Linked DNA regions of Arabidopsis thaliana. The protein of the gene in region 2 interacts with the protein of the main gene of each other region in a pairwise test. Each region holds a gene or a part of one and is shown on either strand. Other genes may lie near its edges.

Region 1 (4,790 bases), on a different chromosome or scaffold from region 2:
TCACATGCCTAGAACATGCATGACACAACAAAGCCAGATAATTAACGCAAGTCACAAACTCACAATCTAACACGTTCTCCTGTCTCTGTGATTATTGTAAGATCGACAGATTTATTTCTTCTATTCCAAAACAAGCACTCGATTAATATTTACTTACACGTGATTACCATTTTCTTACTATTTTATTTTATGGCACGAAGTTCCATTTCTTGATTATAAATTTTTAATATTACCGTACCAGAACGTTGACCCAAGTTTTCTATCAGGAAATTTGTTAGGAAATGACAAATTAGTGCTTGATATCATGCATGAATCATGATCAAAAGTTGGCCCCATGTTTTTAAAAACATGGGCTAAAATTTTGGGAAAAAATTAACGAAAAAAAGATTGATGAAATAATTCTGTCAAGTACATAATAAATTCATAATACGAGAATTACGTGAATAACCTAAATTTTGTATCAACATTATTAAAAAAAATAGTGTAGAGTTTCATAAATTAATAAAATAATTTAAATTCAAACTCTAATTAAATCTAACCTCTAGACTTTAAAATCTTAACTATAAATCCGTAATGCATGGAAACATTAATTCTTCTGTAAAACAATAAACAAAACAAAATGGTCAATTGTTTAGAAAGTTCAGTATTTTAGTTAGATGAAAAAGATTTACAATAATAATTGTGTGATTTATTGAGTAATGATCGGGTTTATTCACCAGCCATCAGGCGGCTGATCGGGCCAGTTAACTAACATAAGGTCTGAATAAAAATGGGCCGAATCAATAAGGCTCGTCAATCTCAGTCTTGTGCTACATGTATTTTCACTTCTTCCACTTCCAAGTTCAAACAAATTTCGCCAAAATGGGATTACCTTTATGAACCAAAAGACGACCAGGGGACCTGACTTTATCGGTGTTAATGTTTCAATCATACTAAAATCGACAGAAATTAAAGTAGTGGATCCACAAATCTTACATTTTTATTAGAATAAGAAGTTTACTTATACAAAGAGATGATGACGTGGCCATGCAAGCTTTTTGTTTTATTACGTAGGCCCTCGGCTCCAAAAGTTTGTTGAGACTTCGAAATCTTGGAATTAAAGCTTCTCGTTTTCGAGGTCAAGCGTACATGTTAAGTCATTTTTATTCGTAAAGTGATAATAAGCTTTTTAAGTATCATCAACTTTCATCACTTATACATAAAATTCATTTAATTTACTCTTTATACGTATGACACTTAACCAAAGCTTTTGCTATTTAATCATTTGGCTAACTAACACTTCTTTCTTTCTTTCTTTTGGTAGGTTGCGGAACTAATTAACGCTACTCTTTCAAAGTTAATTTTTTTTACTGATAGTGTTATGTTTCCACAACAGTATGTTGCGTGAGGTGACGTCTATATGCTTATGACTATAAGCTAGCAGCTTAAACTATGTACAAAAATGTACAATGTCATTATTGTGATCACAAAATTGGTAGTTAGTTAATGTCATATATATATATATATATATATGTGTGTGTTTTAATTTTGTTAGGTACAGAGGCACTCTTGTAAATAAAAACTACCACTAAAATCTGAATGTTTTGTGCATTAAAAAAGAAAGAAAGATAAAACCTCGTACCGATCTGAATAATTTTTTATCAATGAAGTCACAATTTTGTACGTTGATGAAGTCAACACGTGGCAAATTACAAACTCGACAATTTCCTCAAGAGAAACAAAAAAAATCCCTGAAAAATTCCTCAAAATTTTCTTAATTTTCGAGATAAATTGATTTAAAATAAAATAAAACAGAAAGATACGCAATGAAACTGCGTTTTCAAGCAAACTGCTAAATTTCTATCTTTTTTTCTCTCTCTCTCTCTCTCTATAAGGGCTCTGCTTCTTGTACAACAGCCGAAACAATTATACCATGACATTAAAATCCAGATTTTTTTCAGTCATTTTCGTATTATTTGTTTAAAAGTAAAGTTTTTCTTCCATCAAAATGGAAAATGTGATCTGGTTTTTTTCTTAGAAGATATTAAAACAATCGGAGAGAGGATTGCAAATTTTTTATTTTTGTTAATTTGCTGTGTGATGGGTCTGGTTGATTCTTTGTTAGGAAAAGATGCAAGAAAATTTCTCAAAAGGAAAGATAGTGATGCTGCAGAAGCAGGTACGTCATTATTATAACAACAATTCATGAATCTGCCTCCATATTCTTCATTTGATTTGCCTCATCATAATTCAGATTTCTCATGATCAAAAATGATGCTTTATTTATTCCCACGTTGTCTCTGTTCTTCACCGTTTAAGTTAAATGGTTTTGATCGGATCTTTAATGGTTTTGATCGGACCTTTAGGCTTTTTTGATCTGTTTGTGAATTTGTAGGACGAGCTTTGGAAGAACTCAGAAGTTCTTTGTACAATGAGCTTAAAACATCAGAAGGAGCTAAAAGGCAACAACAGAGATTTTGTGGCCCTGTTGTTGCAATGTCCTTTAATTTCGTTGTTGCTGTTGGAATCATCCTTGCCAATAAATTAGTAATTTGGTTTCTTCAATCTCAAATTCTTCTTTCTCTTTTTTTTATTTACCATGTGAATGTAATTGTAAGGTTGAATTGTGCAGGTGATGGGAAGAGTTGGATTCAATTTCCCAATCTTTCTAACATTGATTCATTATACCGTGGCTTGGATTCTTTTAGCTTTCTTCAAGTCTCTCTCTTTGCTTCCAATGTCTCCTCCATCAAAGACAACACCTTTCTCATCTCTTTTCTCTCTTGGAGCTGTCATGGCCTTTGCTTCTGGACTCGCTAATACCAGTCTCAAACACAATAGGTTCATAGCTCAATCGCTAAAGTTTGAATCAAGATTCATAGCTTAAGCTTGAAAGCTTTTGTTCTTCTTTGTTTCCAGCGTTGGATTCTATCAAATGGCTAAGATCGCAGTTACACCAACGATTGTTCTTGCCGAGTTTGTTCTCTTCAAGAAAACCATTTCTTCCACAAAGGTTTCGCTTATATCTTTTATGACATGTCAACAAAACAATCAAGAATTCATTACATGTTTTTGGTGCTTACTCTGTTTTTGCAATTTGTCCTCTTACAGGTCATGGCATTAGCTGTAGTATCTCTAGGTGTGGCAATCGCGACAGTGACGGATCTAGAATTTAATTTGTTTGGTGCATTAGTTGCTGTTGCTTGGATTATTCCAAGTGCCATTAACAAAATACTCTGGTCTAATCTTCAGCAACAAGCTAATTGGACTGCCCTAGCGTAAGAAATAAGAATCTCTCTCTTTTACTTTTACTTGAGGTGTAAGCAATACAAGTCTCTTAAAATAAAGGCTTTATTGAATGTAGATTGATGTGGAAGACAACACCGTTTACTGTCTTCTTCTTGTTGGCTCTCATGCCATGGCTTGACCCACCTGGAGTTTTGCTTTTCAAATGGGATTTAACTAACTCTTCCGCAATCCTCATCTCGGCTCTTCTCGGCTTTCTTCTCCAATGGTCTGGTGCACTCGCTCTCGGGTTAGTCTTTTTGTTCTCTTGCTTTGGTTGGAAGTTCAGTCTTGAGGTTATAAAATGCTAACTAAATTTGTTGTTTCTTACAGGGCAACATCAGCAACATCTCATGTAGTATTAGGGCAATTCAAGACATGTGTGATCTTGCTTGGAGGTTACGTTATCTTCGGCTCTGACCCTGGTTTCATCAGCATCTGCGGCGCTATCGCAGCTCTTGGAGGCATGTCTGTCTACACGTGGCTCAATCTTCCGGGGAAATCCATCGATCACATGTCAAACAAGCAGCTGCCAAAGCAAAACGTCACCGTTTCAAAACCTAAAGCCGAGGCTGACGACGGAGGAGGAGAGACCGGAGTAACCGTAGTTTCTGTTGACCCACTTCTCTCCAAGACGATAACTGCAAATATCGTATAGTTTTACAATTTGATTAGATTGCCAAAGAGAAAAAAAATGAGTTTTACTTTTTCTTCTTCAGGTTTTAGTTTGTAAAATTGGTTCAGTTTTGATATCAAATTAGTGTAGTAAAGTATACTAATAAAAATATTTTGATATCATAATGTGACAAGAGGGCTTGGTGGGTTTATTTGTACGATAATGAAATAGATGGTGTAGTTTAGAAGTAATGTAAAACTTGATGTGTATTTTTTTTTTTGTCGTCACTTGATGTGTATTATGAGGTGCAATTAGTAAATATAATAAACCTTTTTGACTTTTTCTATAATTTCAAAAACTTTAATGTAGTAAAGTGAAAACTTGTGGGGAATAGGGTTTTCGGTGATAAAATCGGGCTGACCCGAACCCGGTTTAGTGCGAGATTCCACTGTCCGTCGTTAACAAAGGAGCTAAATCTCAGAACGATTTCTCGATTTGCTTTTGCGACATTATAATTTTCCTTTCAATTGACTCAGTGAGTCGCCGATCGAGTTAGAAATGGGAATGGGAAGTAACGGAGAATTGAAGTATGAGATCTCCCAGAACGCGTACATCAAACTCGTTCTTCACTCGCTGCGACACAAGACGGCGGCGGTCAACGGAGTCCTCGTCGGTAGAATCAGCCCTAAGGACGACGGAGTTGTAGAGATCTCAGATTCTGTGCCGCTCTTTCACTCTAACCTCGCTCTCCTTCCTCCTCTCGAGATCTCCCTCATCATGGTTCGTATCTCTTCTTATTCGAATCGATTTGATTTTACGAGCTTTGAAATTGAATTTTGAAAGAGATTATGATCTGATTGCATTGGTATGTATATTGAATTACGAATTCTGGAAATTTTTAGTTCGTGTA
Region 2 (5,631 bases):
CATTTTTTTTTTATAATGTTTTTACTCTACAGGCACTCGATCGGTAGCCTTAGAGGGGACAAGCAACACAAAACCCAAAATCCAAGTACAACTGCGATTTGCAGTTCTATTTTTAGCAAGTATTTAAGGGAGTAAAAGTACTAACAAGAACGTAAAACATTTGTAATTACTATCTGAAACTTTTGTCCATAAGTTAGCTGTGGAATGATTTATCTTATTTGTTATTTAAAGAAAAGTGTATATGTTTATTCGCTTGTTGTTGTTAATCTAACGAAAACGAGGAAGTCTGTTTTTGGACTTATTCTATCAGATAAGGTTAAATCTATGAAATTTCATCAAGTCGGTCCACATTTCCGGAAGTATGTTTGTGACAAATCAAATTATAATATTTCTAGTTTAGTGAAAAAAGTAAACATGTCAGTTTTTTTGTTTACATTTTCCCCAGACAAATGTCCAACCAATGTTAGACGATAAGAGAATTACCAGCTAAATAAAATAAATGCTCGAACTTAAGAAAACACATGTAAAAAACATCCACAACATAGAAAAGTCAAGACCGAATAAAGAAATTATGATATCGATCTGAAATCCAAAGATGCGATCGATTTAATCCAAATCATTTGAATAAACTTAGGAGTTTTGTACCTATATTGATACTCCTGTTTCACATATATGTCGTTTGAGGTTATTACACTTGTTCTGAAACGAAATTGAGTTCTAAAACGAGAGAGTATAAGTCCAAAAGTAACTTAATATATATATATATATATATATATATATATATGGTCCCATAGAAAGGTAAGAAAAAACACACAAAGGAGTGCAATGAGAAGCAAAAAGGACATGTGGAAATTTAATAAAAAGGCACAACAATAAGGACTCTCTGTCTGTCATAGGACAAACCAAATGTGACCAAAACATTATTTCTTGTCTCTCATTAAACCACTTCACTAACTATTTTTTGCATACATTTATTCATTTTCTGACCAAAAACCCTACTAACTATATAACCCCACCCAAAAAAAAACAAAAAAAAAAAACAGAATTGTTTTGAAATCTTTTCGCTCTCTTTTTTTTTTTTAATCATTCTAAATTATTAGCAAGTTATAGCATTGTAGTAGTAGTAAGATATAAATTTTGTTTTCTATAAATATTTTCAGGAATTTGACGTCCATAATGCATTTTGAGGTTCACCACAACGTTCGTGAACGTCGGCCATCCTCTCAGCCGACCGACAGATTCCGCTGCATTTCCAGTCGAACGACGCCGCGCAAACATGTCCCATCATTGCTTTTAGTTCACAATCTGTAAAGAAACAATAATGCTTTAGAATATGATTTTCTTAGAGAAATTTCTAAAACCTTGATATATTTCATACCAGTATAAAAGCTTTTCTGTTGTAAAATACTAAAATCAACTTAGAGTAAAACCGGTAACATCTATGGATTAAACCAAACCAGGATTGTTAAGCTCTTTACCTTGAGAAGTACTGCAACAAAGTCTTTTTTCATCAACATGTTCTACATTCAATCCGATGAACCAAGATCCCAACGAAACATCTTCATTCGCATACTTATGCAGTAAATCCCTTATTTCAACAAAATAAATAGAGATCGTTAGAGGTTTTTCCCAAGCATTCTGGCTGCATTAAACCGCTGGCTAAAACCAAGTTAGGAAAAAAACTTACTGGTTTATCAGTATGTAAGTAGCTAGATCTTTAGATATAGCATAAAACTGTCCAGTGGCGTGGCGGAAATACTTGTTCCCGACTTCTCCAAACTTCCAATACTCTGGCTCATGGTACTTCACACTCCTGTTTTTTTTTTTGCCAGAAGTATAGAAAGTCCGGAAAGGTTGATGCTCTTACGCTGTTTAAGTACCTAAAAAATGCTCACCTTAGTAGGGTTTTTACTTACTTTCTGGCTAGGACGGGACCAGACTTCATGCAACCAACATAAACCCGAGGCTTGTTTTGGTGTGCGGATAAAGCCTTCTTGAGGGAGGCTGCAAAAAATCGGATCAAGGCATCAAAACAAAATGGATGGATGATATATAAGACATAAATGAAACATTTTGATTTTCTTACCAAGATTCACATGAACGTCATCGTCAACTTTGATGTAGAATTCTGCATCCCACAAGGAAACAGCGGTAGCGAAAAACGTCTTTGTCTTGGCAGATAACTTCATGTATCCCTCCGTATGTTCCTGTTTTGTTTTCTAAAGCTTTGAATAAATGTAGCACGAAAATACCAAACACAGAAAATTTTGTGAGAATTGCTCAGAGTTTTACCAGTCTCAAGAAATCACCATGTGTTTTCTCTTCTGCTTCAATAGCTTTATCAAGAATCCCGTGGGACAACACACTGAAATCAGAACATTCCAAGAACATAAAAATGTCGGTATACACAAAGTAAAGTATAGTTATAAATGCTTAGTTTCTCACTACAGAACATGACTTCTCCTTTGTACCTATGTCCTATAACAAAGCGAACAATGATGCCTTTCTCTTCTTCAAGTTTCTTAAGATTCTCTCCTGAATGATAGTTTAAAAACCGTAAAAGTTACAATTTCTGACTAATTTAAACTAGAAATCAAGAAAAGTAGAAACAGACTTACCTTGTGGCATCCATGTTGACCGGACAGAGTCACGTCTCTTACGACTACTAAAGGCCGTGTTAATACCGATAACCATGAAGTATTTTCTTTTCTTAGCTTCATTGGATATGTTAAATTTCCCGGACAATGACTCACGTTCAGCTCTAGCAGCTACTAGTTTCATCTCTAAATTTGAAATGGATTTATCTAAGATCCTGCAATTTGTTTTGAGTTCTACAACATCATCATCAACTAAACATACATAGTAATTGTTCATAGATACATCTAGTCAAATTTCTAAATGGTTTTACCCGATAGTGTTGTTACCATAGTCCAAAACCTGCAAAGAAACACAAGTTCAAACAATGTATCATCGAATTTCCAAGTGAATTGATGATGCAAAAACGTAGAAATCTTACATTCTTTTTATCGCAATCACTGGAACTTAAGCTTAGTTTGGAGAGTCTTGATATGCCTCTAGCTTCAGGTACTATATTCCACATCCTGATATAATGATGATCATTATCCCATGAGATCAAAACAAACACAAATCCGAACCAAAATTCAGATCAAGTCACTATCTATCTCAGTGATACAGATTTTTGAAACAAAAAGAAGTAATCTCTATGTTATTTTCATACTTTGTGGACAATGTGCCATTCAAATTATTCAATTGTTCCTCTTCCGACGATACATTAAGCAAAGAGATTGATCAAATACTACAAAAGTTACAATGTTCCACTATTTGATCAAATCTATCTGATAAGCAGTATAAGATATAGTTTTTTTTGTGTGTGTCTCTTGATTCCTCCTCACTAAAGCTACAAGGACACAAATAGACCAGTAGTCTTGATAAAAAACAAAAACATGCCTTCACCGACAAAACTCAAAGCTTAAGAAATCTACTTAAATTTTGAGAAACACAAGATAGATTCAGTCCCAAGAAGATGAAATTAGAAACAACAAAATACTTAAAAATCCAGAAAGAAAAAGAAGCTAGAATCAAACACGAACAGTGAGATATCCAAACTTTAATAAGAAATCGTCGAACATAATAAAAATGGGGCTCATGTAATAGATTTACCTGTTAGTGAAGAACATTCCAAGGCAGAAACTTGCGAGGCACATGAAAAATACAGAGTTTCTAGAAACTACATTTCTTGGAGTAAAATTGTAATCTCCTCTGTTCTTGAATGACATTTGGATTTGGTTTCAGGACTCAAATCCAAAAAAAGCAGAGAATGGTCAATGCAAAATCAAAGATTTGTTAATTTGGAAGTCAAAAGATTCAAGCTTTTTTTGTGGGTCTATTTACAGTACTTTTCTGCACACTCTCTTTCTCCCACTCTCTCTCCGCATGAAGAGAGAACAAACCCACTAATTGAATCACTTTTTATATAACTTACAAGTTTGGTAACGTTTTGGCATATACAATAATGACGTTTCAGATTATAGATTTTGAAGTTACTAAAATATTTTAAACTGATGATTTTTGCTACTAATGTAATGATAACTGCAGCTGCAGATCTAGTACCGGAGAAAAGAGTTACGTACTGTTCTGTTTCCGGGTCAGATTTGGAATTGTGAAAAAGTACTAATTTAGTTAGAAACTGGAACAATGTGAGAAAAGTACTAACAGTGTGTGTATAAACTTTGCTTAACTTTTGATTTATTCAGAATTACAAAAGCAGAATCCATAGACCTATCACGTTTTTTATATTGCTTTGGGAATGTAAAAGAAGAAGAAAGGATCAAACTCTCTAAGTTGTCTCATAAGCTAATTTCTGTACATACAAAGAGAATTCATCTTAGAGCTTCCATTTTATTTGGTCTTACTTGCGTGCAGAGTGATAGAGCTCAAGATACTCAAGTGCAGGACGGTTCCATGACCAGTCTTGCTCCATCACCGTCTTGCACAGCGAGTTAAACCACTCTCTACCATCGTACCACGCCGATATCGCCCTGGGAACAAAAGGAAACAAGAAACATCGGTTCATAATGCTCGAATCAAAAGAGAGTCTTAGTTTAGATTTTGGTTGGTTTACCTATTGAGAGCATAATCAACACCAGGAGCATCAGCTCCGTCGAAGCTGAAACCATTAGGTTCTAGAACTTGAGCTTGTGCCCTTTCTTTATCGTGGTCAACATCAAAAACCGTATCAAAGAGTCCTGTTGGACAAAGATAAACCATTACCGTAAAGTCAGCTTGGTCTTGAGTGAAATGGGTAAAGCTTAAGATTCTAACCATAGCCAAAAACAGTTACCTCCAGTTTTTCTAACAACAGGAACAGCGCCGTATCTCATGGCTATGAGCTGTGTCAGTCCACATGGCTCAAATATCGACGGTACAAGAATAAAGTCAGCCCCAGCATAAATCTGGAGAGTAAAACACAAAAAGACTTAAAAGAGTAATACCGACAGCAAATAAAGGAACGAACTACAACTAAAGGTTTGTTATTGTCTTTCTACCAAATGGGAAAGAGGTTCATCGTAGGTTAGAACAAGCCGAGCCCGGTCACCATGAGAAGAATGTAATTGGTTTGCCAAGTTTACAAAATCATTTTGGATCCGAGGATCTGGAGCTGAACCTAATAAGACAACCTGCTTTCAAGAAAACCGGTAAGGATTGTGAAAAGTTCATGACAGGACTTTTCAAAGGTCGATAAGGCTCGAAAGGACCTGTCCATTCCGTTCCAAGGTACGCCAAATAGCGTGCTTGATCAAATGTATTCCCTTCTGGTGTGTTAAGCGCGTAATAATTCCTACTACTGGAAAATCGGCACTCTTTAGTCCAAGCCTGTTTTGCAATTCTTCCTTGGCTGCTCTTTTGCCTTCTACAACGTTCTCTGAAGTATAAGGTACCTAAGAAACACACAAAGTGTTCAAACATCACAAGATGTAGAAAGAAATCTAAAGACAGGAAAGGAGAGGATGTGATGAAGCTTACGGGAATAAAGTTATCGTTATATGGATCCCATATATCTGGGTCAATCCCGTTTATAATTCCGTGAAATTTGTATAAATGTGCAGAGAT

Evidence for each region.
Region 1: the proteins of AT1G11730 (region 2) and AT5G55950 interact in a protein complementation assay, tested with the Arabidopsis thaliana proteins (one large-scale study listed by BioGRID).

Annotation. Positions count from the first base shown.
Region 1 is NC_003076.8:22,657,543-22,662,332, reverse strand, and holds AT5G55950 (Nucleotide/sugar transporter family protein), read left to right. Parts: upstream 1-1,827; 5' UTR 1,828-2,079; coding exon 2,080-2,158; intron 2,159-2,306; exon of another isoform or gene 2,307-2,374; coding exon 2,375-2,526; exon of another isoform or gene 2,527-2,611; coding exon 2,612-2,820; intron 2,821-2,898; coding exon 2,899-2,992; intron 2,993-3,090; coding exon 3,091-3,257; intron 3,258-3,343; coding exon 3,344-3,514; coding exon of another isoform or gene 3,515-3,575; exon of another isoform or gene 3,576-3,597; coding exon 3,598-3,922; 3' UTR 3,923-4,221; downstream 4,222-4,790. Other genes in the region: emb2731 (Uncharacterized protein family (UPF0172)), read left to right, coding at 4,439-4,660.
Region 2 is NC_003070.9:3,955,639-3,961,269, reverse strand, and holds AT1G11730 (Galactosyltransferase family protein), read right to left. Parts: upstream 3,987-5,631; 5' UTR 3,798-3,986; coding exon 3,682-3,797; intron 3,102-3,681; coding exon 3,017-3,101; intron 2,938-3,016; coding exon 2,909-2,937; intron 2,813-2,908; coding exon 2,619-2,812; intron 2,536-2,618; coding exon 2,472-2,535; intron 2,366-2,471; coding exon 2,293-2,365; intron 2,208-2,292; coding exon 2,087-2,207; intron 2,005-2,086; coding exon 1,917-2,004; intron 1,814-1,916; coding exon 1,688-1,813; intron 1,589-1,687; coding exon 1,479-1,588; intron 1,306-1,478; coding exon 1,157-1,305; 3' UTR 806-1,156; downstream 1-805. Other genes in the region: SS3 (starch synthase 3), read right to left, coding at 4,430-4,559, 4,643-4,766, 4,862-4,973, 5,067-5,198, 5,277-5,459, 5,545-5,631. UniProt on the Arabidopsis thaliana protein: Beta-1,3-galactosyltransferase that transfers galactose from UDP-galactose to substrates with a terminal glycosyl residue.